Linked DNA regions of Lytechinus pictus. The protein of the gene in region 3 interacts with the protein of the main gene of each other region in a pairwise test. Links are inferred from orthologs where the notes say so. Each region holds a gene or a part of one and is shown on either strand. Other genes may lie near its edges.

The links.
Region 1: the proteins of peroxisomal targeting signal 1 receptor-like (region 3) and acyl-coenzyme A thioesterase 8-like interact in binary tests that used the Homo sapiens proteins (3 or more experiments, as listed by UniProt). The link is inferred for Lytechinus pictus from reciprocal best matches to the Homo sapiens genes PEX5 and ACOT8.
Region 2: the proteins of peroxisomal targeting signal 1 receptor-like (region 3) and delta(3,5)-Delta(2,4)-dienoyl-CoA isomerase, mitochondrial-like interact in a two-hybrid assay, tested with the Homo sapiens proteins (2 studies listed by BioGRID and IntAct, with this or other methods). The link is inferred for Lytechinus pictus from reciprocal best matches to the Homo sapiens genes PEX5 and ECH1.

The regions. Positions count from the first base shown.
Region 1 is NC_087246.1:25,013,196-25,023,874, reverse strand, and holds the start of acyl-coenzyme A thioesterase 8-like, read left to right. Parts: upstream 1-5,999; 5' UTR 6,000-6,281; coding exon 6,282-6,493; exon of another isoform or gene 6,494-6,495; intron 6,496-8,177; coding exon 8,178-8,320; intron 8,321-9,564; coding exon 9,565-9,790; intron 9,791-10,408; coding exon 10,409-10,587; intron 10,588-10,679. Other genes in the region: MTOR-associated protein MEAK7-like, read right to left, coding at 239-371, 2,552-2,773, 3,190-3,387. UniProt on the Homo sapiens protein: Catalyzes the hydrolysis of acyl-CoAs into free fatty acids and coenzyme A (CoASH), regulating their respective intracellular levels. Displays no strong substrate specificity with respect to the carboxylic acid moiety of Acyl-CoAs.
Region 2 is NC_087251.1:23,742,531-23,753,181, reverse strand, and holds the start of delta(3,5)-Delta(2,4)-dienoyl-CoA isomerase, mitochondrial-like, read left to right. Parts: upstream 1-6,065; 5' UTR 6,066-6,463; coding exon 6,464-6,515; intron 6,516-9,662; coding exon 9,663-9,825; intron 9,826-10,651. Other genes in the region: adenosine 3'-phospho 5'-phosphosulfate transporter 1-like, read right to left, coding at 1-599, 1,653-1,762, 3,091-3,358. UniProt on the Homo sapiens protein: Isomerization of 3-trans,5-cis-dienoyl-CoA to 2-trans,4-trans-dienoyl-CoA.
Region 3 is NC_087258.1:5,593,709-5,603,566, forward strand, and holds the start of peroxisomal targeting signal 1 receptor-like, read right to left. Parts: upstream 4,841-9,858; 5' UTR 4,748-4,840; intron 4,532-4,747; exon of another isoform or gene 4,229-4,531; intron 3,271-4,228; 5' UTR 3,251-3,270; coding exon 3,077-3,250; intron 2,376-3,076; coding exon 2,249-2,375; intron 776-2,248; coding exon 635-775; intron 1-634.

The DNA.
Region 1 (10,679 bases), on a different chromosome or scaffold from region 3:
AAAACAAATTGAAGTTCCTTGTTTGTTTGGACAGCAGGTTGAAAAGTCTTGTGAAAATGGCTGATTTTTCTAGCATGGAATCGCCCCATAACAGATTCTTAACAAGCCATGAAATGAATTATGATTAAACTGAACAAAATATTGAGGATGATTGGTGTTTGAAGTTTTGTTGGTGATACCATGAACAATGTACATGCATTTTCACAAATAATATATTTCATTTTGCAGATCCCCTTACCTTCATCCATGCCCTGTAAAGTGAATTGCACAAATCTTTGTTTGGAGTCAGCATCAGCCTTAATATTCCAACCTCCCATCTTATCCGCTGCCTTCAATGCTTTCTCATAGGATGATAAGATATCTGTGATGAACTGAAATAAAATAAGAAAATTACATACAAAATATTCTATTTAGAACAGGTTTTAATCATTCTGATATCAATAAACATCTTTTATTTTCTTCTTCATTAATCAAATTAACCATTAAAAATTTCAACCCATTCTAAATAAGAAGATACTGCAATTTGTGATAAAGTCATTATATATATATATTTTTAAATATGCAACTATAAACAGAATATACATGAAGGACAACAATCATCTACTTAAAGGGGTACTCCAGGCTGAAAATATTTATATGATTATATCCTATATAGATAAGAGTAAAATTCAGGAGCAAAGTGATAAAAATTTCATCAAAATCTGATAATAAATGACAAATTTATTGAATTTCAAAGTTCAATATTTTGTAAAAACAGTTTTATGCACGCCGTCATGAATATTCTTTAGTTTGGCTGATGATGTCACATCCCCACTTTCCCTTTTAAGTTATTACATGAAATCATAGTTGTTTAATTTTTCATACGTGTGTAAATGATTTGTCTCCCTTAAAATGAAATAGGTTGCAGCAATGAATATCCAATGCACTAAAGTCAGTTGCCAATCCAATTTTTTTAGTTCTTGGAAGAAAAAATTTGAATAAACCTAATTTCATATAATAAAATACAAAAGAACAATTGAGGATATGACATCATCAGCTTGCTCATTGCATAGTCATGAAGACATAGAACTGTTTCACTGGAATCATGCAAATATGTAAAAAGCCATAGTTTTGTTATTCCTTGTCCGATTTTGATCAAATTTTTAATATTTTGTTTGTCTGATTTTTCTTTATCTTTTCAAATCATATCATTTTCAGCCTGGAGTACCCCTTTAATATGAAATTCATATCTCCGATCATCAGATCTTTTTAATTGCATTTTTTGGTCTCCTTTATGTTTTCACAGAATCATAGGCATGCACTGTCTTTCCCAGCCTAGAAACCATCACTACTCAAGCCATATTCAGCTCATCTCATCTGGTTTACAGTCCTTTTCAGAACTTCACTCACTTTCAAGAAAAGAATTCCTCTAAATTCCTCTTTTCATCCTTTCTCGTCTTTCCATCTCAATATTTCTGCCTGTATTTCCTTTTCCTTCTTCATATTAAACATGGTGAACCGTAAACCCTCTCCACGTCATAAATTCTACCATGCAAACCTACAAAGATCAAGCCTACAAAGTTTTCCTTTATTGTCTACCTCAACGAAAAGCTTCAGAATGTAACCATGGATGCCCCCGCCCAAAAAAAAAAATAAATAAATAAATAAATAAAACAAAAAAAATAATGAAATTAAAAGATCATCATCAGGGTGTGCATTTTGTGACAGAAAAAAATGTATTAATTTAGAAATAAATAACTTGCAAAGTGCTCTAACAAACAATTATAAGACAGATAAAATTAGGTTAAAGGAAAAGAAAAAACAAGGAAACTGAAAACAAGAATGTGATACATGCATAGTAAGATGTGCTCTCTGAACAGTTTTGAAAGATTCAAGAGATATTAAGGAATGGTTATTCCTAAGAGTAGGAGCACTGACAATAACAGCAAGGTGATCATGGCAAGTAGAAATACAGGTAAAGATAACTTGTTGTATTGAATTGGAACTGTATGTACAAAGTTTGTTGATTACCGTAATCCGGCCTATACAATACCGGCTGGATCAGCAATCTAGGAGGCATTGAGGAGTAAAATTTGAAGAGGCACAAGTTTTGGATACTGTGCATATCACTTTGCAAATAAGATCATTTTCAAATAGTGATTATATTGGGAATATACTTGCCATATGATCAAATAGGTAAGATGTAAAGGAAATTTGATGAAAATTATGTTGACATAGAGATCCATACACGTCACGTGTAGAAATCTGAGATTGCAAGACATTACTGGAAACAATATTCTGACAAGGGCAAGACTATATTTGATTATAAAAGTGACAAGAATAAGAAAAACTGTAACAAAACTCGCAACACACTATAAATCATATATTACAGGTACAATAAAAAAAATTGGTGAAAATGGACAATGCAAATCACTCAAATATATAAGAAAGGGAATCAGTCCCAAACATAATCAAAATATAAAACACATCCGGACTTTGGTAATCATAAAAATCCATAAAAAGCAAAATTCAATGACCTAAGGTCAAAACAAATAATGTAATATTTACTGACCTTTGAGAGATGTTCTTTTGTTATCCTGTCAGCCATGTTGGCAGCTAGTCTGCACACCATCAGACTTGTTTCTTCCATAGTTCCCTTAAGTAGCTTGGCGAGGGCGATCACGAAAGCTTCTTGAGAGATGGATTTTATTGAGGAGATGACCCCTTGGACTTGAAGCATCTCATTGTATAGACGCTCAGTTGTCGACTCAGATAGGATCTCACCTAAACAACTCTAGTGAAGAAAACAAGTCACCGTTAAAACGCAATTAAATTTGAAAGTGTTAAAAAGCAAACAATATTTCAAAAACCATCAACCTTTATTTTTATACAATTGATTACTTGGATATGCTTTATGATAAAATCAATTTTTTTTTTTAAATCTGTTAAATTATTCTGACTCATTAATTAAAAAAATTTGAAGCATACACCAAAAAAAAAAAGGTCTACAAAAATTCATAAATTTTTCCTCTCATTCACATTCTTTTGATAGCATCTACCTTTCCCAGCAATAAACCCCAAGAACTAGGTCTATACTATCGTGATTTATATTCCACCTTTTGATTAATTTTACTTCATTTTTCATCCAAAATTAATTCTTGTTAGTTATAATTGTAGTGCTGATGTCAATGAATAAGGTATTTGTTTTACCATGAACTGTTCTTTGGAGAAAGTTGCTTGACCCTGCCCATCAGTTTGCTGTGGGTTGCTCCGACATATTCTCTCAAAAACAGTTTGCAGTTCTTCCTGTTCTTCAGGTGAGAAGAGAGATCGATAAGTCTGGTATTCCGCTCTCATCCCAGTTTCCTGTGAACTCCTGGACTTCTCAGCACTCTCAGACTGTCCCATCTTTAAATATTTTGACCCCCCTGTGGCCAAGTCAAATGGAAAGAAGAAACAATATTGTAAAGATTGCACAGCAGATTAACATCAGGGCCCCATCTTACAAAGAGTTACGATTGATCCGATCAATCTCTTAAAGTTTATGGAAATCCATCAATGTCATCATTTTTTCTTTAGGAAATTTGCACAATGTCCTTTGTAAACAAAGAGAAGCATACTGAATTGTCAAAAAAACTGAATGTATGAATGATATTTCTCGAAAATATTTTGAACAAATACGTAATTTTAGATGTTGACGTTGCTGGCTTTCCATAGTTGCGGTTGATCAGATCAATCGTAACTCTTTGTAAGACAGGGCCAAGAAGAAACATGATAATAATAATAACAAAATGCTTATATAACACTACCGAGTACTCTTACAAGATCACTCCATGAAGATACGTATGTAGATCTCTAACAAACTGCCGGTGATTCTGTGAATGGTAGACTATTCAGTATACACCAATTTTGTTTGGTTCATCATGCCTTGTGTACATGTAAGTAGTGTCTTGTTACTCATATCAAGCACCCTTCTTTATATTACACACAGGGGTGGATCCAGGATTTGTTTAAAGGAAGGGGCATACAATATCCCAAGGAAAAATTTGACAAGCAAAAAAAGGGGAAAAAAGGGTTTCAACCTAAAATTAAGGGGATTTCATCCACAATAAAATTTGACAAGCAAGAAAAAAAAAGGTTTTCACTTTCAAAGGGGGGGGGCATACTTCTTTTTTAATGGCATTTTTACATTACAAATTTAAATTGTGCCTCTCAAAAGGGGGGGGGGGGACGGGCCGACTGCTCCCCCCTCCCCCTGGATCCGCCAGTGATCACACGGGTAGATATTTAACAAGGTTACTTGCTGGATATATGGGTACCACTTTATGCATGTATCTAACACACTTGAAACAGAGAAAAATACCTGCAAGGTCAAGGGCTAAAACCCAACAGGGGAATTATATTTAAAGGAGGAGTTCACTCTGTCAGTTTTTTTTAACAAAAGCAAGAGACAAAAATGCATGCAAATCCTTTGAAAACAGCAGCATTTTGAAAATGAAGTGAAATAAAGGATAACAAATTTGTAACAAAATGAAATTAAAATTTCTTCATATAAATAGATTCTAAGTCTATATCATTGATATTATCTGAATGCCTTTAAGAAGTCCAAGCTATCGAATCATCATTTCAAAGTACTAGGTATCATAGAACTTTGACTACACATGTACTTGGTGCGGGGCGGTGATGAGCGATAGTATGAATAGACAGGAATAACCGTTGTTTCTGGGGATTTATTTAACAATTTCTGACATTTTACTATAATCCCCATGGATACTAATTGGAAAGCCTTGATAAAAGCCTTACTATTACAAACAACACACTGGGCTGCCAGTTTTTCATCTCCAGAGAATAAGTTTAAAAACTAAGAAACAAAATACCGGTAACATTATACATATATTTTTTCAGTATTTGATCAAATATTCAGTAACATCACAAGAAAGCGTGTAAACTAAGCAAAAATGTGGGCCATTGTTTAAACTATTGTTCCATTAATAGACCTAGTAAAATTCTAAAAATCTAGATGAATTTTTTCCACCAAATTGGTGGAAGGTTTTATCAATGGGGCTCAGGTTTACTGTTAGTGAATGGGAATGACAGTAAAATGTCAGAAATTGTCGAATAAATCCCCAGAAACGATGGTTATTCCTGTCTATAGTATGAAGAACTGTAGATTATCATCATCACCATTATTGTTATCATCATCAATATCAATGTTTTTTTTTTCATTGTTATTTTTTCAATTCAATTCAAATAAACATCTACTTTCTTCCATTTCATTACATTTTTCGTAAACATCAATTCATACAAAAATCAAATTGTTATGAAAAATGTAAATATGTACATGTTGGGTTTAATGTGCTGCACTCAACCCAGGTGAGGTAAATGGGTACCGGTAGGAAGTAATTCCTTAAAAAGCTGTGTGCGCTATGAACGCCTAGCTTAGCCGGGTAATATAGGAGCGCCTTGAGCACCTAACAAGGTGGATATGTGCGCAATATACATACCCTATATTATTTGAAGAAGAAGGCGTATACCCTAAAAGTAACTTGTAAAAGCTGAGGCTAGGCTTGTGGCAGGATACACCTATAGACAAAAATACAATACATTAAACATTCTTGTTCTATTCCTCTTTCTCCTCTCCTTCTTCAAGTTCTTCTCCTGCATCATCATCATCCTCATTAATCATCATCATCTACGTCATCATCGTTATCATTCATATCACCTTATCCTGCATCATTATGCCCACTTTCATTATCATCTGCCTAATTCTAAATTCACCCATCTCACTCCACATCTCATCATAGCCTAGGTCAAATGATAGGCTTAGATCAAGTGCACATTCGCATTCAAACCGCCTCTTGTCTTGAGTAGGGTCTTACCACTACACCTAGGAGGCCATTACTGTTATTGGCATGTGCAATTACTTATGCACACACGTATAGCGTAGATCTCACAAATCCGTGATATACTAACTTAAATTGCACAGGATCCAAATCCCAGGTAATACCCATTAGCTGCGCATACCGTACCGACACCTGTTCAATCGAAATCATACATGAGTTGAGATGCAGAGCCTATACAATGCATGTACCTCACATTCACAATATCAAGAAAATTGAAGTTCAAAATTACCGAGGGATGCTAGTAAAAGCAGTAGTCTAATCAGCCTTCGAGCGAAAAGGGTTAATTTGTACGATTCAATGTTTTGATTCCGGACACCCGTCGAATCTCGCTAGCGAGCGCTTGTTGTTTTCCGTTCCGGGATAGAGATTGCGTAATCATATCAGCCGGTGTCAATCAAAATGTTGAGAAACGTGAGACGGTTACTAACTCATTTCTCAAGCTTTTCACAAAGCGATAAGATTGTGAACAAGCCAAACTTACTGCCGGTAACTGTTTCTAGTAGAATGGCTGCTTCATCAACAACAACAGATGATCAATCTGAGAATGATTTAAGGAGTGTTCTCGTCAGCACCGTTCTCGATTTGGAGACTTTGGACCCATATCTGTTCAGGTAATTGAAGGTCCCATACATTGTAATTGTTGTTGCGTTTTTTCAAGTATGACTCAGTTGAAATTTGAATGAAACAGCTATGCAAGTCAGTCACTGATGATCGGATTGAAATGATGATGATGATTTATGATGATACGATAATATGCCAACGGCAGTCTGTACTTTACAGGAAGAAGAAGAAGAAGAAGATGATGTCTGATGATGATGATGATGATGATTGATGTCTGATGATGATGATTAATTGATGATGAAGAAGAAGAGGAGACCTATAGTTGTAATAATGATAATGATGAAGATTTCATTTTCTTAGAAATGATTAGTTGTATAAACCAATTGAATGAGCATTTCATTCATGCTCCAAAGGCAAAGACATATTGCCATTTTAGTGATATAAGATATAATTTTTTAAAAACAAAATTCTGCTCCTGTTTTGAACCAAATTTAGCAACTGGTGATTAATCTTCTTTATAGTTTCTACCAGTACCATGTTAATATTTATTTCTGAAAGGTCAATCACTGTGCAAAGATCTTGGTATTATAAATATCTGTTGGGAAGCTTGATAAGTTATTCCTCAAAATACAATATGAAATGGAATAAACTATTACTTTATCCAGAGGTTTGAATCACTCCTAGTACCAATGAGGTCCAACATTACATGTATGGACCTCATAGGCGACATCAGTAGTATTTTTGGTTAGAAATCTCTGAGAACAGGATATTTATATATTATATCACAAGTACAAGCTATATTCCTTTCTCTTATTTAAATTATAATTTTATAGTGTAAATGCATCGTTAGCAACAACAAAAAATGAAAGAAATGAAGGGGAACTTACATTTTCACGGCTTTTTCCTGATTTTCTGGGCAGCTGCTCTTCTCTTCTGACTCGCGATCGAAGCTGATATGAAGATCACGTGATTCGCGTTCTCGTCAGCTGATCGGTTGGTTATTCTTTTCGTCAGACGTTAATAATATATATTTTATAATGCTAGCATTCATCGCTAATTTAGGTGAAAGAGATTGAAGTTAAACAGCGCCAGGTCGGAATCATAATTATTTTGGAAGAGTGTATTTATACACTCGATCTCATACCTGACGTAGACGGCGCTATTCAACAAATGCACAATCTTCAATATAAAAAATAAAACAGAAAGAACGCCTTGAACACAGGCCAAAATGCCTAACGATTTCTCCGCGGCATTAACAACTATCGTAAAGGGCGCTCCATTTATCAATAAAGATGGATGCTAAGCTGTCTATGGCGACAAAATTTGCCGCAAATATTTACGAAGAATTGTGAGAAATGGTCTGAAAATGCAACAAAAGAACCGGTGAGTACCGATTAAACATTATTAAAGTTGTAAAACGATTATACATACCTTGTAGATTTAGTTTTTAAGGTGATATTAGTGCTTAGTTCTAAGCTAGGGAGGCCCAAACGCGCGTGAGTGGAGTCCCAGTTTATTAGCACGGGTAAGTATTGGGGTGTCGCCTAGAGTGGTTTGAATGGGATGCAATGGATAAAGCCAGTTAGAGATAAAAATCCCCACATGTATAGTAGGCCTATTCTTCAGTTTCAATTTTTTTCTTTTGACTGTATTGAAATTCTTTGTGACCATGATATACTTTAACATTAAACTGTTTCCCCCAAAATCAAAATGACTTTCTCTTCTAAATGATAGAGCCAAAAACATGTGGCATGCTTATGGACCAGGGAAGAGACTGTTTGGTGGTCAGATCATTGGACAAGCAATGGTAGCTGCTGGGAGGACAGTGAACCCTGAACTATCTATTCATTCGCTTCATTCTTATTTTGTCAAAGCAGGTAATTACTGTGCAATGACTAATTCATTTTATATTGTGCTCTAAACAGGGTTGAGAGCTTAAGATATATATATATATATATATATATAATGTACCCATAACATCTAGAGCAGTTTGTTAAAAATGTAATTTCTTCCTGATTGGAGTGGGTGAATCAAGAAAGCTACAAACAAGAATTGATGAAATATTAATTGGTTTAACCTGAGTGTTCCATCTCATTCTTTGTGACTTCTCCAATATTATGCTCATCAAAGTAGGCCTATATATCATGAAAATCTATTAAAACTAAATTGATTGATTATCATCTGTTCATAGGTAGGCCTACAATGTAGTGGTGATTTGATAATTTCCTTAAAGTTTAATTGTCAGGATTGGAGTCGAGGCTGGGAGTTCATGAGGCCACTAGATAAAACTTTCCCCCACAGCCTTTGTACACATCACTTGCCACCTGGCTAAGGCTAAGACTGGTTAAAGCCAAACAAGTCCACCCCAACAAAAACATAATTTGAATAAAAAGAGGAAAATCCAACAAGCATAACACTGAAATATTCATCAAAATCGGATGTAAAATAAGAAAGTTATGGCATTTTAAAGTTTTGCTTAATTTCACAAAACAGTTTAATATGCACATCCTGGTCGGTGTGCAAACGAGGAGACTGATGACATCATTCACTCAACTATTTCTTTTTTGTATTATATGAAATATGAAATATTCTAATTTTCTTCTCATTGTCAAGTGAAACAATGATTAATTCCTCCCTGAACATGTGGAATTAGGATTGTTTAATACTATGTGGTTCAGTCAAGTTGGTCCTTATTGTCAAATCTGTAAAAACTGAAATATTGTATACCGGTAATTCAAACAATAAAAAAAACAAAAAAAAAGAAATAGTGAGTGAGGGACATTGACTGTCTCATTTGCATGTCACTGAGTTATGCATGTCACTGTTTTGTGAAAAATAAGCGAAACTTTAAAATGACATAACTTTCTTATTTTACATCCGATTTTTATGAAATTTTCGGCGTTAAGCTATTTTGATTTTTCTTTTTTTTCAAATCAACATTTTTCTGGGGTGGACTTTACCTTTAAATTTGGTTTGGAGGCTGACTTTGAGTCTGTCCCAGTTAGTTTGTAATAAATATGAAAAACATCTGACAGTAAACTGCCGGGTCTCTGTAGAAATTAGAAAATTCGGTCATGAAAAGGTTAGGTCATCTTGTTTTTTTTTTCTCATAATATCTCAGGAGATTCAACCTTACCCGTTCTTTATCGGGTGGAGAACCAGCGTGATGGACACAGCTTCTGCACACGCTCGGTAGAAGCCATTCAGAACGGTCGTATCATTCTCACAATGATGGCATCTTATCATAGGTTCGAGGATTCTCCGTTTCATCATCAGTACACCATGCCTGATGTACCCGATCCTGATACCATGACAACAGATATTGAGGAACTCAAACAGTTTGTACAGTAAGTTTTTCTTTAGATCCTTCACTCTTTTGCATCATCTCTTTAGATCACTCTATGCGCATACACATAGTTTCATTCTGGAGAGATATTAATGGTGGATAGTTACTTGATTAGAATTCAAGTTTTCCAAATTCCCCCTTTTTGATGAGCTTCAAATCATCAAATAAGAAATAAATATAAAAAAAAGACATATTTTTCTGTTTGTTATTGAATCATGAAGGTCTTAAGGTTGATGGGGAAGTTGATGACAACCAGCAGAATTTTTCGAATTATAATTTATATTTGTATGATGATGAAGCTATGTTATTTCAAATTGAATTGATTAGCACTTTCATGCTTTCATCACGCAATATTTCTATTGGTATTTATCACATGTTTGTCACATGCTATTCACTGCGTCTAAAGACTCTCAACTTCCATTTTTCTGACATATCTACTATAAAAAAAATTATCTATGCCTAAATATACATGTACTATATTACACAAAAGAAAACATATTCAAGCCTGCCTGCCCTGAAATATCTTCAAAGATTGTAATAATTTGAATGTAAATGAATATCAGCCTTTTAATAATCTATTACCACATATACAAATTTTCCATTGTTTTTATTTTAATAGGAATCCAGATATTCCTGAGAGGCTGCGGAAATGGGCTCAGAAACAGCTTGCTCAAGAAATCACATTTGAAACCAAGAGAGTAGACAGAGAAAACTTCTTTAGCATGTCATTTGATCAACCTACTGAACCCAAACTCTTGATTTGGGTTAAAGTTAAAGGAAACATTGGAGAAAATACAGGTGGGTAGCAATTGTGGATACTTATTTATGTCATATATAGATTTATTAAAAGTTTTACATATGATTTACAGGAAAACATTTAGGATGACAAA
Region 2 (10,651 bases), on a different chromosome or scaffold from region 3:
AACATCATCTGAATACTGGACATACTGTATGTCTTATACAGGTCTGCCTGCCAATTTGAGGTGAAGCTATCAAAGGCCATGTAACCAACCAAGATGATGACCCCTGATAATGTTGTCACAGTTGATCCTTTGTGATCCCCTCCCTGGGACAACAAGAACAGTGCCACACCAAGAGAGATCATCACAGCTGTGATGTACTCGTAGTACTCGTATGTTTTCCCAGATATGACCTTCCCCATCAGCATCACAGGAATGATCTTGGAAGCTTTGGCCAGGACTTGGGTGGGAAAGGTGACAAACTTGAGAGCCTCATACTGGCACCAGCTACTCATGATATTGGACAAAGAGCAGTAGGAGTACTTGTAGAGGGGTGCAGTGTGACGAGGTTGAGCAGTGAAGTTCATGAAAACCAGAGCAGCCATGAAAGCGAGAATGCGGTTCATGAACACTAGGAATTGGGAGTTGGTGAACGTTTCTCCTGGATTATGTGCATCTTTGCCATATTCATGTGCCATTATACGTTCTTGAAGGACTCCCCATGTAAGGTATGACCCTTGCAGGCCAGCTACGCAAAACAGCAGCACAAAACTACGGTTCATCTGGAAATGAATAGAGTATTACACATTACTATAGTCAGAATACTAAAATTTTCATTTTCAAAAAGCAATAAAAAGTGTCCGTCCGGCCGTCCATCCATCCAATGATTAATATCATTTACAGTATTCATTTCAAATTCATATTCCTCAAAAGTTAGAGTAGCATTGACAATATTGTGTAGGTTGAGGGGCAAGATATATATTCATATGAAGGGCAATAGTCTTGAAATCTGGTAACCTGGGCTTAAATAAAATTTGATGTACTATTTAGGCCTAGTCCTATTGCCCTTTGGTAAGTTAAATGTCCTCATTACCGGGGGCCAATAGCAATTAGAGTAGCAACTGAATACTTACTTACTAATCAATTGCTAGTCCTAAATACATGCTTCTAATTTATTGGTTGAAAATAAAAATGTTTGATTTTTAAAGTTGTGACTGATTGCAACTCTTTCTGCTCTCTGATCCATCAGAAAGTGTATGGTCATTGGTCCTCTGATCGTTTACCATTAAAGTAGTCTTTTAATAATCTAAAGTACTGGCTTTTAACAGTCGCTTAATATCTGCATCTTAACCATGAAATATTTCTGACAGCACTCCTCTCGATAGCTGTAAATCTATCTCACCTGCATTTTTTTAAAACTAAACCATTAAATTATAGGTCTGGCAGCAATTGCTGGAAATCAATCATTTACCTTACCGGAATCAAATTCCTATCTAAACAGAAAGCGCAAGAAATAAACCAATATCATCAGTAAACTTTATCAGGTCAATATATGAACTCTTTCATGAACCAAACTGTCATGCAACAAATACAAAACAGTTAAGTAGACCAAAATAGTGACATTAGTGCATTATGGTCACATACAAGGAATGTTGAAAATGTAGTCTGAAGAAAAACTTTTGTCTTTCGCTTGCATTTCATGTGGTAGGAAGTTTAGTTTCAAAAGGTACTTCATTCCCTTTTGATGAAAATGGTCAACAATGTTTTTCTGTGAAGTAATAAATATGGATGTAGTTCCTTTTGGAGCTAAACTTTTTATGTACATATAATATTACCTTTGGTTTCTCAGTCACTGTAGCCTTGCTACCTCCTTCCTCTAAGCTTGCTTTGATTTCGTCTGACCCAGTTACACATGATTTGACAGTATTGTACCAACAGCCATGACCTACACAAAATACATATTTCAGAAAATAAGAGGTTTAAAGAGACCTACTGTAACTGATTAGGACATAGACTCAGAAGAAAGAGGAAAATATCCCAAAGAAATACTACTCTCCTAGGAATTCTTCAGCATGAAAAACAATAGCTACCAATTATTGCATTTATGTCAATTCATCATTAACATCATTGTTGCTGGGATGATGATGATGATCATCATCACCACCACCATCATCATCACCATCACAAACACCATTACATTATCAAAGTTCATAATTTGTACTTCGCATACATGGACAAATAAAGTAGAGCTACTGATATCATTATCATTACCTGCAGCCCTTTAGCTCCCTCTCATTTCAGGTTATTCAGGCAGATAAAAATGCAGATAAAAGCGCAGGGTTGAATACCCAAAAAGGGCAATGTCATGACACATGTTACTAGCTCCGGTTACAGATTCAGAGTAGTAAGCCAGCTTTTTGTTTCAAGCTAATTTGCTTTGCATAAGAATATGGTATATCATAAACCAAACTTATTATAACTTTGACATTTTATTTCAAGTATTTCACGTCATATGCTCCAAAATATATTATTACATAAATTACATGTACATGTAAATCATTGCCTAGATGTCAACTTCACAACAAATGACATTATGCGGATAACTGAATCTGATGTGATATTGTTATCAACGTTGAATCTAACATTTTATTCCTCTAACATTTTTCTCCAAAAGCACCTCAAAGAGCTACTACCTGTATTAACTTAATAAACCCAAAGCCAAAACAATTGTCTTTTTACCGTGAAGTCTTCATTTTTCTTAAAGTAGTACCTGTATCTTCTTATCAAATAAATCAACTCGGTACTATATAGAGTTTCATCTAGTTCTAATTATTACATACATGTAGAGCTCTGATAGTGCTGGTACAATATAAGTTAAATGTCTGTTTCTGTGCTGCCCTAACTTCCTTTCCATATGTACTGGTACAACACAGCCAGCTTTACTCCCTGTAAATGAGAAGTTTTCAGACTCCTTACAGTTCTTCTAATATTGTTGGTAAAAATTAAAAAAAAAATCATTCTAAAGGGCATATACATGAGTTTGTAACTAAAGAAATCTTTTAAAAATAAGATTATTTAGATAGCTTTATTCAATCCCAAAATTTTGTTGCCCAAACATGTAGGCTGACTTCTTAAAAATATTTTTGACAAGGAAAAGGTTGTGATTTTGAAAAGGGGGAGGGGGAGAGGGTGCAAAATTACTTTTTTTTCCTAGGAGTAGTGGGCATAAAAAGGCAGAAATGCCTTTGTCTTTTTATATGCCACTACTTGTACCTGAGGGATCCTCACCTCCCTTTTCCAAGTATCCAGAGCTTCTGACATAGCGAATCACCAGCCAAGCAGGAACAATCACTGACAGGTAGCCAAGAACATTTAGCGCCAATCTGATAAACCAATAGTCCATCCAGCCTTCAGTAGAAGCTTCATCTTCTTCTTTTGCATTTGCTATATGAACACTAGCAAGGCATATGAAGAGGCTTATTAAGATGGCAGCACTGACACAACTTGGCCTAGTATTATTGGGTTGTCTGAAAGCAGCCATTTTCACTTGATTTCTATGGACAAAGGAAATACACACAGGAAGTTATTTATTTCAATAAGTTGAGACTTGATATTCATTGAAAATTAAATTCTAAAAATGTTAACATGATCATCATGATGGGGAACTGCAGGATCCTCATTTTATAGAATCTTGTTCATTATAAGGACTTCTCCATTATACAAATAATATAAAAGTTCAATCACCTGTCTAACACTAATTGAGAGAAATAAAAACTAGTTGATCTTCATTTATTGAAATATATGATTTTATGAAAAGTTGTCACTCTATACTATCAATTACTCTCATCATTGGAATTGTTGTTTTTACAATATTAGTTCTTCCCAAAGTAACACACACAACATACTGTAGGACATCTATAGTGTAATTTAGTGTGTATATGTTATGAGTACATTATTATGCCATTTTTATCCAAAATTTTAATTTTTTTCATCAACATAAAAAAATACAGTTTGTACACAAATATTTTGGAATCTATAGAAATTTTCAAAGTATCAAAATAACAGAAATTTTCTCTACTTCCTATTGATAACCAATTTCTAAAAGCTTCTAAAGGTGCTTTTAAAAATTATTTTATAATATGTAATATGATGACATGCTCCCATTTCACAGAAGCGTGCCTAGAGCTAGCCCGATATGAATCAAGCAAGACACGCACATGTTTTTTTCACAGCCTCTACATCGCCGCTACCATGCATTTCTAATGCTCTGGATTCTATTTTGTATGCAGATAACTCCAGCTTGTTCATGTCCCATAAAAATGTTGAAACTTTACAAAATGTTCTTTAATAATGAATTGAAATATACATCAAACTGGCTTACTGTAAATAAATTAACTTTAAATGCTCGAAAATGTTTTTTTTTTATGGTTTTCACAAATAAAAATAGATCATTACTCAAAGTTGATGTTTATTTAAATGAGATGCCAATTAATGAAGTAGCATTTACTACCTTTTAGGTGTTAATGTCAATCTTGATAATAGGTTAACATGGAATGAGCATGCTGGTGTCATCTGCGGCAAAGTTGCCAAAACATCACTGTCATATAAACTGCACGTTACCGAAGATGATTCATCTTTTATTATATAATACACTGATTTTACCTTATTTGAACTTCTGCAATATAGTCTGGGGTAATAAACACATATTAACATATTTCTTTTACAAAAAAGGACAATGAGAATTAATTATTACTCACTCCTCATATCTGTGTCATTCTGGACCATTGTTTAAAATCTTTGAAAATTCTAAATATAATGTATTTGAACAAAATGAATATTGCAGTTTTAATTTTTTCTTATATTATAAAATATCTTGCCGAATTCCCTCAAAAATTATTTTTTATCAAACACATCTGTACATACTCATTCCACTGAAAATGCTTGAAATATTCATATCCCACAGTGCAATACTTCTCTCTTTAAAAATGGCATATATTATCAAGGACCAATTATTGGAATTCAAAATTCTAATTCAATCCCTTCCCATATTCAATTAGATTTAAGCTCTTCGGTATCTGTTTTTAGAAGGAAATAGTCTACAAAACATTTTAATTGTCAAGTTCATAATCTAAATATAACTTAAACTTATTTCTGGCTCTCTAGCTCTCTCTCTCCTTGCATTGTTAACCCCCTAACGGTGGCTGCACGATAGCAAGCCGTCTGTGTACAAGGAGAAATTAAAAAAAAATTAAAAATGTTAAAAAACTCCTCGAAACAGACGGCTGCCAGCTGTCTAGCCTAGTATCACAACAGACACAAGCCAAGCCTTTTCGGCCATTTTTCCTCCTCATTCATGTCATATCCTTTGTTTGATGAACAATTATGGCAAGTTCCCCCAAGTCTGCGCAGTCCCCCTTGTCTGCGCGATTCTAGTAAAAGAAGATACGCAACGAGACTTTAAACATGCAATACATAGACAGGTATTCATTGAAAAATCCGACTCAAAATGGTGGAAAAATAATAAATTCAGGGCATTTCATGTGACGGCCTCAAAATGCAGCCTTTCTCATCAAAATCCCAGAATCGTGTGCAAAGTGAATGAGTGCGCAGACATGGAGTATCATTTTTTTTTCAATCTGAAAATGACTGCCAGAGGTTTTTTCAAGAAAATCCTATATTTTCTTTCATTTTTTAATGAGAAATTTGGTACACTTACTCTCAATAATATAAGCATGATAAGGAACATTATTTTAAGTTTTTATTATTTTAACTGAAAGATTTTGTGAAATAAGAAGAAATTCATGTTAAATCTCAACTCAAATTGTTACTGTTAGGTGCGCAGACTTGGGGCCCACCTTACTGCGGCAGCCCGAACACAGTGTACTGTGAAAGACGTGTCGAGGTCCCCGGGGCAAGGGCACACCATCATATTTATAGTTGTTTATTCACTGTCTATAAAGTATTTTATGTATCTTGTCTGATTTCTTGAGGAAAAATATAAATTAAACTGATTAAGTTGTGGAAGAAGATTAAGCTTGGACGAAAGCTAGACCTGGAAACTTGGCTGCAGCTTTCTGCATTTTTCCAGTACATCCGGTAATAATAATAAGAAACTGAAAGATTGACTGGCGCGACTATAATATAAACTAAAGAGTAAAGCTAAGTTTATAAACGAAAGCTGATATCATGAAACCGCACTAAAGTAAGCTCGTGGGACTGTTGTTCATGTTGACTGTTCAGCTGCCTTCATGCTTCAGCAGTTCAGCCTTCTCTCGATCTCAGTCTCACTCTCAGCTCGGTGGAATTGGAATCTGAAAACGAAATGTTTAACGTTATAACTATGCAAGAAAAAATGAGGCCTACATAAATATTTATACGTATTGGACATTACCAATTTCCAGATTTTACAGTAGATCTAGATCTTACAGTTACAGTTACAGTTAGAGTGATGTTGACTGTGTCGCCTGGCCTTGTCGGTACCGGTAGCTAGCCGAGCATAGCAAGACACGTCGACGTCAGCTAGCTATCGATATGATACACGGATACCGGGCCCGGTACCGGTACCGGAAAATTTTGTGATCGAGCTAGCCACAGCGGTACGCCTTTTTTATACCACGCCCGCGCCCGTGGACGGCACGAGATCATCATGAATTCTCTCACCAAAGTCATCCTGTCAACAGCCAGGAAAGGGAACTTGAGTAAGATTAATTGAAAATTTCAAGGAAAGAAAATGGCATTAATCTGTGAGATTATTTTAAGTGTTAGCATTCGGGTGGGGGGTTCAACATCAATTCAAAATACGAGTGTAAGATCGACCCAACTCATGAACTGGATCTAGCGAGCACGCAGACCGGTGCTCCCCCGGCTTGTACCGGCGGCACATTTCGAGGCTACATGTAGCTGCTCTTACTAGCTAATTTAGTACGGTGTTGAAATCTGGTTTTGGTGTTATGTGTTGTGATAAAGTAATGGTCAGTCGTGATCATTTTTGGTTGTTTGAGAAAATATTTAATGCATGAGTACGAGTGAACATGAATTGCAGTTTTTAGCGCAGCATTAACATGATTAACGCATTTTAACTTATCAATATATGTAATATGGTTCTCAGAATCAGAATGGGGTTCATGGGAGTCACGCAGGAGAATAGGGGGTTAGCATGCATGGTTAGGGGTGAGATAGTGGGTGAAATAGGTTGATTGGACAAGGGTCAACAGAACATTTAGCCACCCCCTCCCCCCTTCCTGTTGAGATTGAGACTGATTGCTATTACATTATTTACATGTTCGCATAATAAGCCATAAAGTCCAGAGCAGACTGTCAATTTAATAATAAATTCTGAAAATTAGGGCATCAACTTTTACCTATCAATCATTTAATCAACAATTTATTAGTAAATCAAATGCCAATGTGATCAAACATTCACCTTTTTTAATAAATTATTTCATAAATCATCATAATCTGTAAATTTCTTAGTAATCATTCAATGAAAAAAAAAAATTACCCATCAACAACAGTCACTTGGCAGTTAAGTTTTGAATACCATCCAGGAAGAGAGAGAGAGAGAGAGGGGATGGAGATGGTGGTACATGACTTGTAATTTGTAAAAGAACACAAAGAAGAGTAATGCCCTTTTTAACCATGTATTACCCTTTCTCATCCCTTTACTTGCAACAGGTACCATCACATTACTCTAACTCTCATAAACACACTGCTGAGGTCCACAAGAGAAAGTTAAAGGAGAATGAAACTCTTGGAGCAAGTTAGCTTTTGTGAAAGCAGAAAAATCAAAGAATAAGATCAACAAAAGTTTGAGTAAAATAGGACTAGCAATAGAAGAGTTATGAGCATTTGAATGTCGAGATCACTAATGCTATGGAGATCCTCTCATTGGCAATGTGACCAAGATCTTTGATGTCACAGATGAACAACTCTCCCCTTTTGGACACTGAAAATATACCCCAAAACATCTCTTTTTGCTCATTCTAATCATATGACAAACGTTTCATCAATGATATAATTTTGTGAAACCTCTGTACTTGTCCTCTCATATAGAGAACACCTCACCTTGTGATAGACTCTATAAAAGTGAGAATATAAGTGAAATACTACTAAAGTAATGAGGGAGTTGTACGTGTGTGACATCACAGATCTTGGTCGCATTGCCAATGGGAGGTTCTACATGGCATTAGTGATCTCAATATTCAAATGCTCATAACTTTCTTATTATTCATTCAATCTTCCTCAAACTTTCAACAATATGTTTCTTTGATTTTTCTCTTTGATATGGATTCAGCTGGTTTCAAGGGTTTCATTCTCCTTTAAAATGGTACACTATAATTACGATTCCTGTTCACTCATGCATTAAATTTCAATTTAGTAACTCATGAAATTTGCTTAAAAAACCAAAACTTATCTCAATTGATCATTAATTTAGCATGACACCCTTAACTTTTCAAGTTCCAAGGACTAACCTAAAAAATTGGAAGGTTAATTCCCACCCAGCCTAGTCAATCTTAGTCTCTCAGGGGGGTTGAAGTGGAGGGGGGGGGGGGGGGGGGGTAAGAGAGGAAGGGAGGGGTGGCTAAATGTTATGGTGACCTGTATCCTATCAACCTACTACACCTTCTTAAGTCCTATCTCACCCTTTTTCTCCTGACTCTCATGGACAAACTGCAGAGATCCACCTGAAAAAGTAAAAATGCTGCACTAAAAAAGTACAATTCAAGTTCAATCATGGAGTCATGCATTAAATTTCAATATAATAGCTCTTGAAATTTTCTCAAACAACAAACTGGTCACGATTGATCATTAATTCATCACAAACCCTCAACTTTGCAAGTTCCAAAGGATCGCCTCTCAAAAACTGAAAGAAATAGGAAGGCTAATTCCTGCCCAGCCTAATTATCATACCCTTTATTTAAAGGACAAGTCCACCCCAACCATTAGTTGATTTGAATAAAAAGAGAAAATTCCAACAAGCATAACACTGAAAATGTCATCAAAATCGGATGTAAAATAAGAAAGTTATGACATTTTAAAGTTTTGCTTAATTTCACAAAACAGTTATGTGTACATCCTGGTCAGTATGCAAATGAGGAGGCTGATGAAGTCATCCACTCACTATTTCTTTTGTATTTCATTACATGAAATACAAACTATTCTAATTTTCTCATTGTCAAGTGAAACAAAGATTAATTCCTCCCTGAACATGTGGAATTAGCATTGTTTTAATACTTATGGTTCAGTCAAGTTGGTCCTTATTGTCAAATCTGTAAAAAAATGAAATATTGTATAATTCAAACAATAAAAACAAAAGAAATAGTGAGTGATGGACATCATTGACTGTCTCATTTACATGTCACTGAGATGTGCATATAACTATATTGTGAAAAATAAGCGAAACTTTAAAATGTCAACTTATTTTACATCCGATTTTGATGAAATTTTTAACGTTTTGCTCGTTGGATTTTTCTCTATTTATTCAAATCATCCTTTTTCTGGGGTAAACTTGACCTTTAAGTGGGAATTGCTCACTCATGCATGAATAGTTTTCAAACTTTTTGGATTTTGGTGTTGTATGAAAATGAAAGTTTACTCTATTTGCTTTCCATATATTTAGAAATTTTGCCCACAAGTGATATATTTTTTGTATGGCAGCCATTTCAAAAGTGTATGGTTTTTTTAGATGCACTGTATATGATTGTATTTGTATAAGAATTCCCTGTTTCTATTTTGGTAATAGAACTCACCTTCATACTTTGTGCTAATAATTTTATGTAGACTTGACTGTATTTTTTGTTATTGAAAACTTCATTTGAAAATTGTTTCCTTTATTATCATTTCAGCCAAGATCGGCCTTAGAAGAACACTCGCTAGAAGCATGTCTTCCGAAGGGCTGTCAAAATATAATTTTGAGTCACTTGCTGTGACTAATCCGCAAGAGTTCATATACAAGGTTGAGGTGAACAGACCAGAAAAACGTAATGCAATGAACAGAGCATTTTGGAGGTAAGCTTTTTAATAAAATCTTAAAGCGTTTTCATAGAGCATCTGCAGAAATTTTAAAAAGATTTTGCTCTGTATGAGGGTGTCAAAGTTCAATATTGTTCCTTAATTTAATTGTCACAGAAGGAAGTGTCTAATATGAATGGAATTTGTCATTTCATGTGCATGTAATATTTGAGAATGGAACAGTATTTTTTTTATTTCAGTCTAGGCTTTAATTAGGAAGCCTTCATTGGTTTGGATATCATCTACATTAATCTTAGTATTAAGGTTATTGATTAAAGATGTTTAGGCTATCTCACACTTAGCTTCATTGGTTTGGATATCGTCTATATTAATCCTAGGATTAGGGTTATTTGTAAAAGATATGTAAGCTATCTCACACTTAACTTCATTGGTTTGGATATCATCTACATTAATCTTAGGATTAGGGTTATTTGTAAAAGATGTTTAATCTATCTCACACTTAGCTTCATGGGCTTGGATATAATCTACATTAATCTTAGGATTAGGGTTATTCGTATAAGATATGTAAGCTATCTCGTACTTAGCTTCATTGGTTTGGATATCATCTAAATTAATCTTAGGATTAGGGTTACCGTATTTGAAGATGTTTAAGCCATCTCACACATAGCATTTCACAAGATTAAAAAAAAGAATGATATACATAGTATACGCATAGCGAAAATTCTTTACTAAAAATCAAAATGTTATTACTCTATTAGAAAACTTATTCCAGAGGAATTGCTGTGATATTTAAAGCTACATGAATCTCATAGCTGGCGTCATCAGTTTAAATGTAAGCTTTCATATGACCAGCTTTGTTAGC
Region 3 (9,858 bases):
ACATGTAGAGTGAATATAATCCAAGGGGTCTGCTATGTTGTTTGCAAACTTGAACAGGAGGACCTCACCTGGGTCCCGTAACACAAAGGTTAGCAATTGATCGTACGCTTGATTTTTACGATTGATTGTACATTATAGTCAATGGAATCAATCATAGAAATCAATAGAAAAATGTTCTACGATCATTGCTAAGTTTTGTGTTACGGGCCCCAGACCTGCCAACCTCTGGGAATGAAATATTGTATTCTGTGATAAAAAAAACTGTATTTCATAATAAAAGGCGTGGCGCGCACGCTCATCGCGGTGCTCAAGATGCATGCAAGCTAAAATGCGCACTGCTCTTGCAGATGAAAAAAAAAACCATTGAAATATGTGTATACATGTATCTCACCCTGGTTTTAACAAAATGATTGAAAAGAAAAAACAAGTTACATGAAATTACACTGATCCAATAACCATATTTGTGTACTAAGTTTTATGAAAGAGACATATAGAGATGATTTTTTTCTCAATAAATTACGATTTATTTTGTAATTAGTATGATTTTGTACTGTCATATTTTGTACTGTTGTATTTTGGTTGCAAAAACGTACTAAATACGCCAAAAACGTACTGGTTGGCAGCTCTGCCTCACCTGATTCTCTTTGCGAGTCCAAGAAATCTTTTGTCCAGTTGAGATCAGTGTCATCAACAATTTCCTCTGCCCTCTTCTGTTCTGCCTCAAGAAATTCTGCAGCCCAGTCTGCCCTGGAGGCAAGGTCTGCTACCCCTGGGGCTGAGATGAAAATGAGATAGATTTTTTTTTTCTTGACCTGTCCCAATAATTTTTTTTTTCTGTTTTCACCATACAGAAACATATGCATACATGTTAATTGTACTTGTATTCTTTATTCGACTTGTTATTGATCTCCTATTTTCATTCCTTTCCGTACTTCTTATTCCCTTTCTTGCAATAAAGGCATTTAATCTCTAATATTTGTATTTCTTGCAATTGAAGCTTTTAATCTAGATTTATTCTCAAATGCTCGCTGTCAAAATCTACATCAAGGATATACTATATACACACCCAATATTATATATATGTAATCATCTCTGTGACCTCTGACCATATCTGCACACGCTCAGTAAAGTACGCGAGGTGACTTATTCACACAAATACTCAGACTATATTTACGAGCTACATTGTAAGAGAGAATTTTCTTTATTTTCATGTTTTGTTTAAACTATCTCTATTAAATATAGTATATATCTACGCATGCTCAGATTAAACATGTCATTCAGACAGGAGACAATTGTCTTTATTTTCAAGAACTTTGTTCAAACTTTGTTTCTACAAAGGCTCAGATTTTATCCATAAACTGGCTCATTCAGACAGGATAAGTTTTCCTTATATTCAAGTTAGTCTTAAAATGACCCATATTTCCACATGCTCAGATGTCATCTATGAACTGGCCATTCAGACAGGACAAGTTTTCTTATTTTCAAGTTATTGTTAAATAAATGTAACCCTGATCTGCACATACTCAGATTATATCTATTACCCTTTTTACACAGGATTTTCTTAACCCCGGACTATCGCTAACCCCGTACTATCCTTAACCCCGTACTATTTTTTTTCCTTTTTACACATGCCAAATTGTTATTGCTAACCCCGGATAAGGAATGCTTGCTTTTCACACACGAAACTCGCTAACCCCGGACTAGTGGTTTTTGTCGATCATTCGTAGTACAAGTACTTCACTCGTACCATTTTACACACGCTACAATTTCCTTAACCCCGTACTATAGGTGGGGCCAAATTGCCATTTAGCCCCACCTATAGTACGGGGTTAAGCTTAGCCCACTTTCGTTTTACACTAGCGATCTTAACCCCGTACTATCGCTCTTAGCACCGCAATTGCTGGGATAACCCTGCTTTTTTGCAGGGCCAAATAATCCCGTACTAAAGGTGGGGTTAGCCCACTTTGCAAAAATGCTGTGTAAAAAGAAAGTGGGCTAAGCTTAACCCCGTACTATAGGTGGGGCTAAATGGCAATTTAGCCCCACCTATAGTACGGGGTTAAGGAAATTTTAGCGTGTGTAAAAAGGGTATATGACATGATTCATTCAGACAGGACATATTTTCTTAATTTTCAATTCATTGTTCAAATGAACCTTATGCCCAGATTAGAACTACATGTATCAACAAAATGGATCATTCAGACAAGAAAAGTCTTGCATGATCAACTATCAGGTCACCCATTCATACCTTGGGCTAGGGCTTGGCGGTGATGCAAGCCTTCAATCTCCTGCATTTCTTGAAGAAGGGCATCCATACGGAACGTCTGAGGTGGACCGGCATGGCGATGCTGATCAGACAGGAACTCATTGACCAACTGAACATCAAATATGAAGATTTTATATTAGAATTAGTGTTTGACAGAAGGACCATTAGCATTGGTTTTCTGGAGGGGGGGGGGGGGGGTTGTAGTCGATGTTTTTTTCTCTCTCCTTTTTTCACACTTCTTTAAAGCCCTTATGCAAAATAGAGGAAAGGTTAGACAAAGTTCATCCACAGTGGATGTACATGTAAAACAGGTGAGGGCTATGAAATAATTTTTAGAAATACAATTTGCAAAACCATTTCAATGCACATGTGTGCACTCAAAATTAAAAAATACAACTTATACCTATCAATTTTAATACCTAGGAAGGTTGACATAAAATACATGTAGATAATGGTATTGTACTGTATAAATACATCAGCATGCACTGCTTTTTAAGTCCACGGCCGTTTCATAAAGTTGTTATAAATTTCGGAACAACCAAAATCATTCAATTTGATTGGCTGATATTAGTTTTCATTATTACAAAAAGTATTTATGGAACATGATCCAGTGCCAGCAAAATAATTAAATCTTTATTTTCTGGGGCTACTTTTCACAACTTATCCCCTAAATCTGTAACATTGGCTAATAAGCTTTAACATTGCAATAAATGGGGAATTTCCAGGGTGCTTTTTGAGCATTTCAGGGCAAAATCACCCCCTGCCTGTGTATTTTTTCCCCCTGGGACCCAGGTGTGAATAGCCACTTACCTCTTGGTCAGGAGCTTCAAGGAAGGGTCTTGCCTCCTGCACAAACCCACCTGGCCCTGGGAGATGCTGGAGACCCTCCTGATGCAGAGACTTGTCTTGGGTGAAGTGAGACGTTAAACGCATCAAGGGGTTGGCCGTACCACATTCCCCGTCAACAAGATCTCTCATTGCCATGTTGACAGATGAGTTTCTTACTGTGGAGGAAAGTACAATGAATTACTATTCATCACTGGTGTATAGATGGAGGATTTTGAGGTCCGCCCCCCCCCAAAAAAAAAAAGCTCCACAAACAAGAAAATGAAGAATAGAAAGAAAATGAAAGGGGATATGGCAATTTTTTTTTCTAAAATTATATAAAAATCCATTCAAAATAATAGATTTTGATTCTAAAAAGTTCAGGTTTTGAAATCGGCAGCAAATTATTTATACGTGTGAGGAACTTCATGTTGGCTCTAAATCACCAATTTTGAGACTGATAGAAGCATGGAAAAGAAGTGAAACTTTGTGTAAAGTACGAATATTAGTTTTATTTGTTTTTAAAGATCGTGATGTTGCATGAATTTTATATTTCCCCCCATAAAATCCCACCTTTGTCACTCGGAATATCAGATCGAGTTCACGGTCTCGAAGTTCGGGTAGGTGAAGCGTAGACCGTAGTGTAGCGGTAGTGAAGTGGAGCCTGCACGAACTTCGCTCGAGGTAGCCTACGTACAGTTGATACTTTTTTACTCTCCAGAAGCCTCCAGGCCCTAGGCTACCTACATACCACTACCAGGTATGATGGGGTGACCATAATTTGCGCACATTTTAACAATTATCATTTGATTTTCAATCAAAAATTTCTCACACTGTCACACAAAATTAATCCAAATCCAAATACCAAATGGAAGGCATGATCCCAAAGTCAAATTCACTTGACGGAATTATAATGTAAGTCCATGGTTTCGCTCATATAGTGTTCTCAAAATTCCATGGCGATCGACTAGTGCGCGCTCGGCTGAAAAGTGTCATAAAAAGGTGTGACCTTAATTTGCACACGATCGTTTTGCAAAGCTTTAGAAAAGAAATAAAGCAGACAAAGATAAGATAATTAAATTATATCAGATGGAGGTTAAAATGCCATAAATTCGGTTGGTATCACATTTTACTTACTTATTTGGAGACCTCTGCTTGCAAACTGGCGATTTCTTGATGCTTGTCGAGAATATCAGATTTTCTCGGAACGGACGCAAAAGGTAACAATAAACAAAATTTGCTGATGTTTTGCCAATATTTTCACAATTTGAGACCTTACCTTAAAAAAAATTACCATACTAAGTAATTTTGGGTCGCTCTTTCTGTTGGTGATATCAGTTTTTCAAGATACTAATTAGATAATGAGATATTTGACCGTGCGCAAAATTAGGTTACGCGCGAATTAGGTCACACTCACATCACCATACCACTCACACAACTAACTTACATTACAGACACCGATATATTCGTGTGGGACAATAGTGCAGCTACATAGATAGGCCTAGATTGAAGATTCTACGGCTACGCCATAATACGCAAAAATCCGTCTTGCATCAATGATCAACATGATCAAGCCAGGTCGGTCAGACAAAAAAGTCGACGTCAAAAACCTCGAAATTGTTAATCCACGTTAAAAAAAAGCTACGGATTGCTTACCGATAAATGATAGGAATAATGTGACGAAGCCGAAGGCTGTCCTCTGAGTTTCATCAAAAGTTAATCCAAGTCTCCGTTACGCAATTGCCGAATGGATGTCGGATCCGGATCGGATCGGGCGCCGCGGCCATACATTGTAGATCGAGAAGGGAGGTGCCGTGGCCGTGGCCGAGTGGTCTAAGGAGCCTGGCTGTACATGGAAAGTCCGGGGTTCGATCCCCGGCCGCGGCACCTATGCCCGTGAGCAAGGCATTTAATATACAATGCTCTTTTATCCTGCTTTCAAATAAATGGAAATGCTACCGTATATGCAATATTGGTAACTCGGTGTGCACTAATTGTTTTAAAAATAAAACAAAAATAGATCGAGAAGGGGTGTACGTCGCTGCGGCCCGAAGGGTTCAGGGCCGATCAGGGCCCTGTCTAGAATATTTATCCCGATGCGTGGCCCATAATATACAGTGGCGTAGCTAGCTTTTTTTTTCCTGGGGGGACATTGCTTTTTAATGAGGGGGGGGGGGGGCTGGGATGGCGACAACCACAGGGGCAGATCCAGTTTTCGCGCCAGTAGGGGATTAGGCCCGAAATTATTTTCACCCAATATTTTCCGATCAGCCGCTCGAAATTGATTTTTTTTTGCAGGTGCAGTCCACTTCTTTATTATAAAACAACATAAATATAAAATAATCAGGCACTATAAAATTTTCGATCTCTCGATCGCACTGCATGATGTTTGATGAAATAATAACATTCTTGCTGATAGGCTGATATGGAGCTTAAAATATCAAGTTTTGAAGTATTTCAGCTCCGACATTGAGCTTTCATTATTTTGTTTGATTTTCAGTATCTACCATATGTATCAACATTTTGAGCTCACGCGCAGCGCTTGCATTATTTGATTTGTAAAGTACCTTATCTCTTCGTGTTTTCCATAAAGTTCTCAAAAATATATTTTCAGGTTTGATTGTCAAAACCTATCAGCCAGCGTTGCGCGCTCACATTTTGATTGGTAAGTAATGTATAACTCTACTTCAGAGGCGTCGATCCTGGGGGGGGGGGGGGTAGGGGGGCGATCGCCCCACCAATGAAAATATTGGGGGGCAAACATATATTGTTTTGCCCCCCCCCCCCAATAATTCCTCATGTGCAAAAATAAAATAAGAGTGTAATGTTACACAGAAATCAGCAAGCAAGATTGAAATACACAACTCGTTCCTTATTTAAAATCGTGCTCAAAATGTCTGCTTTTCAGCTCGCGCTTCGCGCTCGCATCATTTCTGTAGCAAAAACCCATACTTTTCATGATTAAATAGGTGAACAGAATGTCCCGTTTTCAGTTCTAAACCTCAAAAGAACCCCCGCTTCGATTTGCAATAATCTTTTGTTGGGTATATATATCTTGTTTTTTTTATCAAAAACGTCCATTAAACTGTCAATTTTTTCAGATCGAAATATCAAATTTTTCAGCTTGCGTTTCGCGCTCGTATCTATTGTTATTTGAGACACCAATCTTAATCGTACCAAAATGCTTAGAATATCAAGCTTTCAGGTCAGAATATAAAAAAAAATTCAGCTCGCTCTCGGCACGCGCATTATCTGTGTAGTAAGATCCTCCTCATGATTTACTACAAACAATCCTAAACGGGTACCTTTTTCCTGTTTTCAGTTCAGTATACTAAAAAAATTCAGCTCGCGCTTCGCGCTCGCATTAATTTGTTGGTGAGATATGTGTCTCTTTCTCACGAGTCATATATATGTATGTATATATATATATATAAACATATATATATATATATATGTATATATATATACATGCCTATGTGTGTGTGTTTGTGTGTAGGTGAGTTTGTTTGTTTTGTGTGATCGAGCGCCTTTGAAAAGTTGAGTCATGATTTTGCCACCCCAATCTGAAAAATGGATCGACGCCCCTGCTCTACATGCACCCTATTCATAATTAAAAAGTGCTTGAAATGTCCAGTTTTTAGGCCTTAATATCAACAAATATCGAGCTGTCATTAGGCTTATTAGATTAATAAACAAAATAAAAAATTTCATGAATTCCTAATAATCAAATTGTCCTTCTTTCAGAATGGAATATCTTGCGCTAAGGTAGAGAAAAGGGAAGACAGTCATCATTTTCATATGATGACAATATGTCCTCAGAATGTTCCGGTCCTAGGTCAAAATGATAATGAAAATATAGCTTACGCTCAGCGCTCGCATCATTTATTTAGTGCGATCCATAATTATCCACTTCACAGTTTTCTTACTGTGCTTGAATTAGTGCTTAAAGACCATTTTCAGATCGGAATATCAAATATTTTCAGCTCGCGCTTCGCGCTTCGCGCTCGCATTATTGATTTTGATGATAAAAAATATATTTAGAATGCCCAGATACTAGGTATAAATCTTAAACACACGCACGCATGTTTATTGAGATACGCAGCTTGTTCTTTATTTAAAACATGCTTGAATTATCCAGTTTCATGTTAGAATAGACCTTATCAAAAAACTTCTGCTCACATTATTAGTGTATGATACCCAATTACCCATCCTTTTCATGATTTACAAAACATCATGAATAGAGTGACCCGTTTGAAGGTCTAAACTTTTTCCGCTCGCATTGTTTAGTTATATACCTATCCTGTTCATGATTACAAAAACTGCTTAGAATGTTCATTTTTTAGGTCGAAATGTCAAAGATTTTCAGCTCGCGCTTCGCACTCGCTTTATTTCACAGTTGAAATATGTATTGTCTTTATGGCTAACTACAAACAGTCCTTAACAGGTCATTTTTTCGATCAGTTACATACGCATCTTGTTCGGGATTACAAAAATTTCCAAGAATGTTCAATTTTCAGGACAAAATACATTAAATTTCCCCAAAACAAATTGTTTTATAAGAAGTGACTGTTACGAATACCACTTCAAAGAAACAAACAAAAGTCGATTTTGAGCGGCAGATCGAGGAAAATATGGGTGATTTTTTTAGCCCTCCCCCAGTGGCGTACCTAGGATTTTCCAAAGGGGGGGGGGGCAAATTCGTCCGCCAAAAAATTTGACAAGCAAAAAAAAAAAGTCTTCACCCGCAAGTAAAGGACATTTCGCACCAGAAAAAAAATTGACAAGCAAAAAAAAAAGGTCTTCAACCACAAGTAAAGGACATTTATTTAGCACCAGTCAGGGACTAACTCATCAGGGGGGCAGGGATACGTTCCTTGCAAGTGTTGTGACTCGTCAGGGGGGCAGTCTGCCGCCCCCCCCCCTTAGGTACGCTAATGCCTCCCCCTATTGGCAAAAGCTGGATCCGCCCCTGAATTTAGGCTTACTTCAGCACCCCCAGCCAAAAAAATCTTTCCCAGGGCACTCTCCTGCAACCTCTTTCTTACTCTCCCTTTCCAGACCTATCCATCTCTCTAGATCGTCAGAATCCGGCTGACCCATTTTTCGAAAAACATCTTCACAAACAAACAGTCCACAAAACTGATTTACTGCTGAATAACACCGTTGAGTGATAAACCTTGATGAACTCCTATAATTCTCCTCCCTCGTGTAATTATTATTGTTGTTGCAGTGATTCAACGATTATCATGTCGGTCGTGTGAGCTTTTTAACGCTACAATCACACCAATAAAACCGACTCCAAACCGACCAATAGTAATAACGTTTATCGATCAGGATTCCGTTTCATCTGTGTGACTGTAGCATAACACACGAACCAATTAAAACTTTTGTATCATTCTAAAAGAAAGGACCAGCATCCCCCCCAAAAAAAACCGATCTGGATAAAAAGGAGAAAGATCTAACAAGTAAAAGGGTGACAAGTGCATGTTAAAGGTAGGAAATAAAGATAAGCATCTGTACGTGCAAACCATCCGGGAACGCTTTGCATGTCATAAATCTGTGAATATTTGTCCCAATGATGAAAAAGCTATTTTCTTTTGTTTTAAAACGTTAGTAACTTTATGATGTGGCATGTGCCTTAATCCCAGGTATGACTGTGGGGAAGTGCAGTCGACTGTTCGAGGTTCGAATCCTGGGTCCCGTAACACAAAGGTTAGCGATTAATCGTACACTCAATTTTTACAATTGATTGTACATTGTAGTCAATGGAATTAATCGTAGAAAATGTTCTACGATCATTGCTAAGTTTTGTGTTACGGGCCCATGTTCACATCTTTTGGAAAGGCAATTAATCATATCTTTTTGGAATTGGATCTAATTTATCTAAACTATCTAACCAAAGTCTACCTACCAAATATGTAATGACCCAATCACTCAATTCAGACAAATTCATTGCAAATTTTATAAGTAATTATATTGATGTGACATTAAACATTAAACATTAAATATATATATATATACGGTATATTTCATATACTATAGAATAAATCAAATAAAATGCAAATATGTCGGTTCGGTGTAAAACTGGCAGAGGTAAAAATAGCAGGAGTAGTAATGGTAGAGGTATAAATGGCAGAGGAAACAATGGCCGGTCTTAAACCCCCATGCAATATAAATGTAAAAGTGAATACCCCACATGTATATAGCTTAGATAAGAAAGGTACTTAAAAGAGATTTGAAATTATAATATTATGGAAAGCGTTATTTTTGTAATTTGTATCGTATTTTCCCCCTGGACTTACGGATTTCTCACGTCGGCTCGCTCTACCTGGTTTGAATCACACTTTAGATCCCAAGTATATTCAGGGGCGGCAGAGCGAAGTTGAAAGTGTGGGGGGGGGGGCATAATGAAAAAGGGCACCTTTTCTTTCGAAAGGGCACTATCTCAAAACAAAGGGGGACAATGACTTATCTACAGTGGCGCAATGAGCCGAAAATTTTGAGGGGGCTAGATATGTCGCATCACATAGTATCTATAAGTTGCGAGCGAGCGAAACGAGCAAGAAATTTTTCTCTTTACATTTTTATAACAATCCAATTTTGTGATAGATTTTGACATAATAAGGGGGGGGGGCAAAGTCCCAAGCCCACTTCCATTTGTGCGCTACTGCTTATCTACCCCCACTCACATGACTCATGAAATTTAAGGCACGTAGGATTATCCTTACTAGTGTTATTCTTCAAATAACATATGGAAATGAGAATAT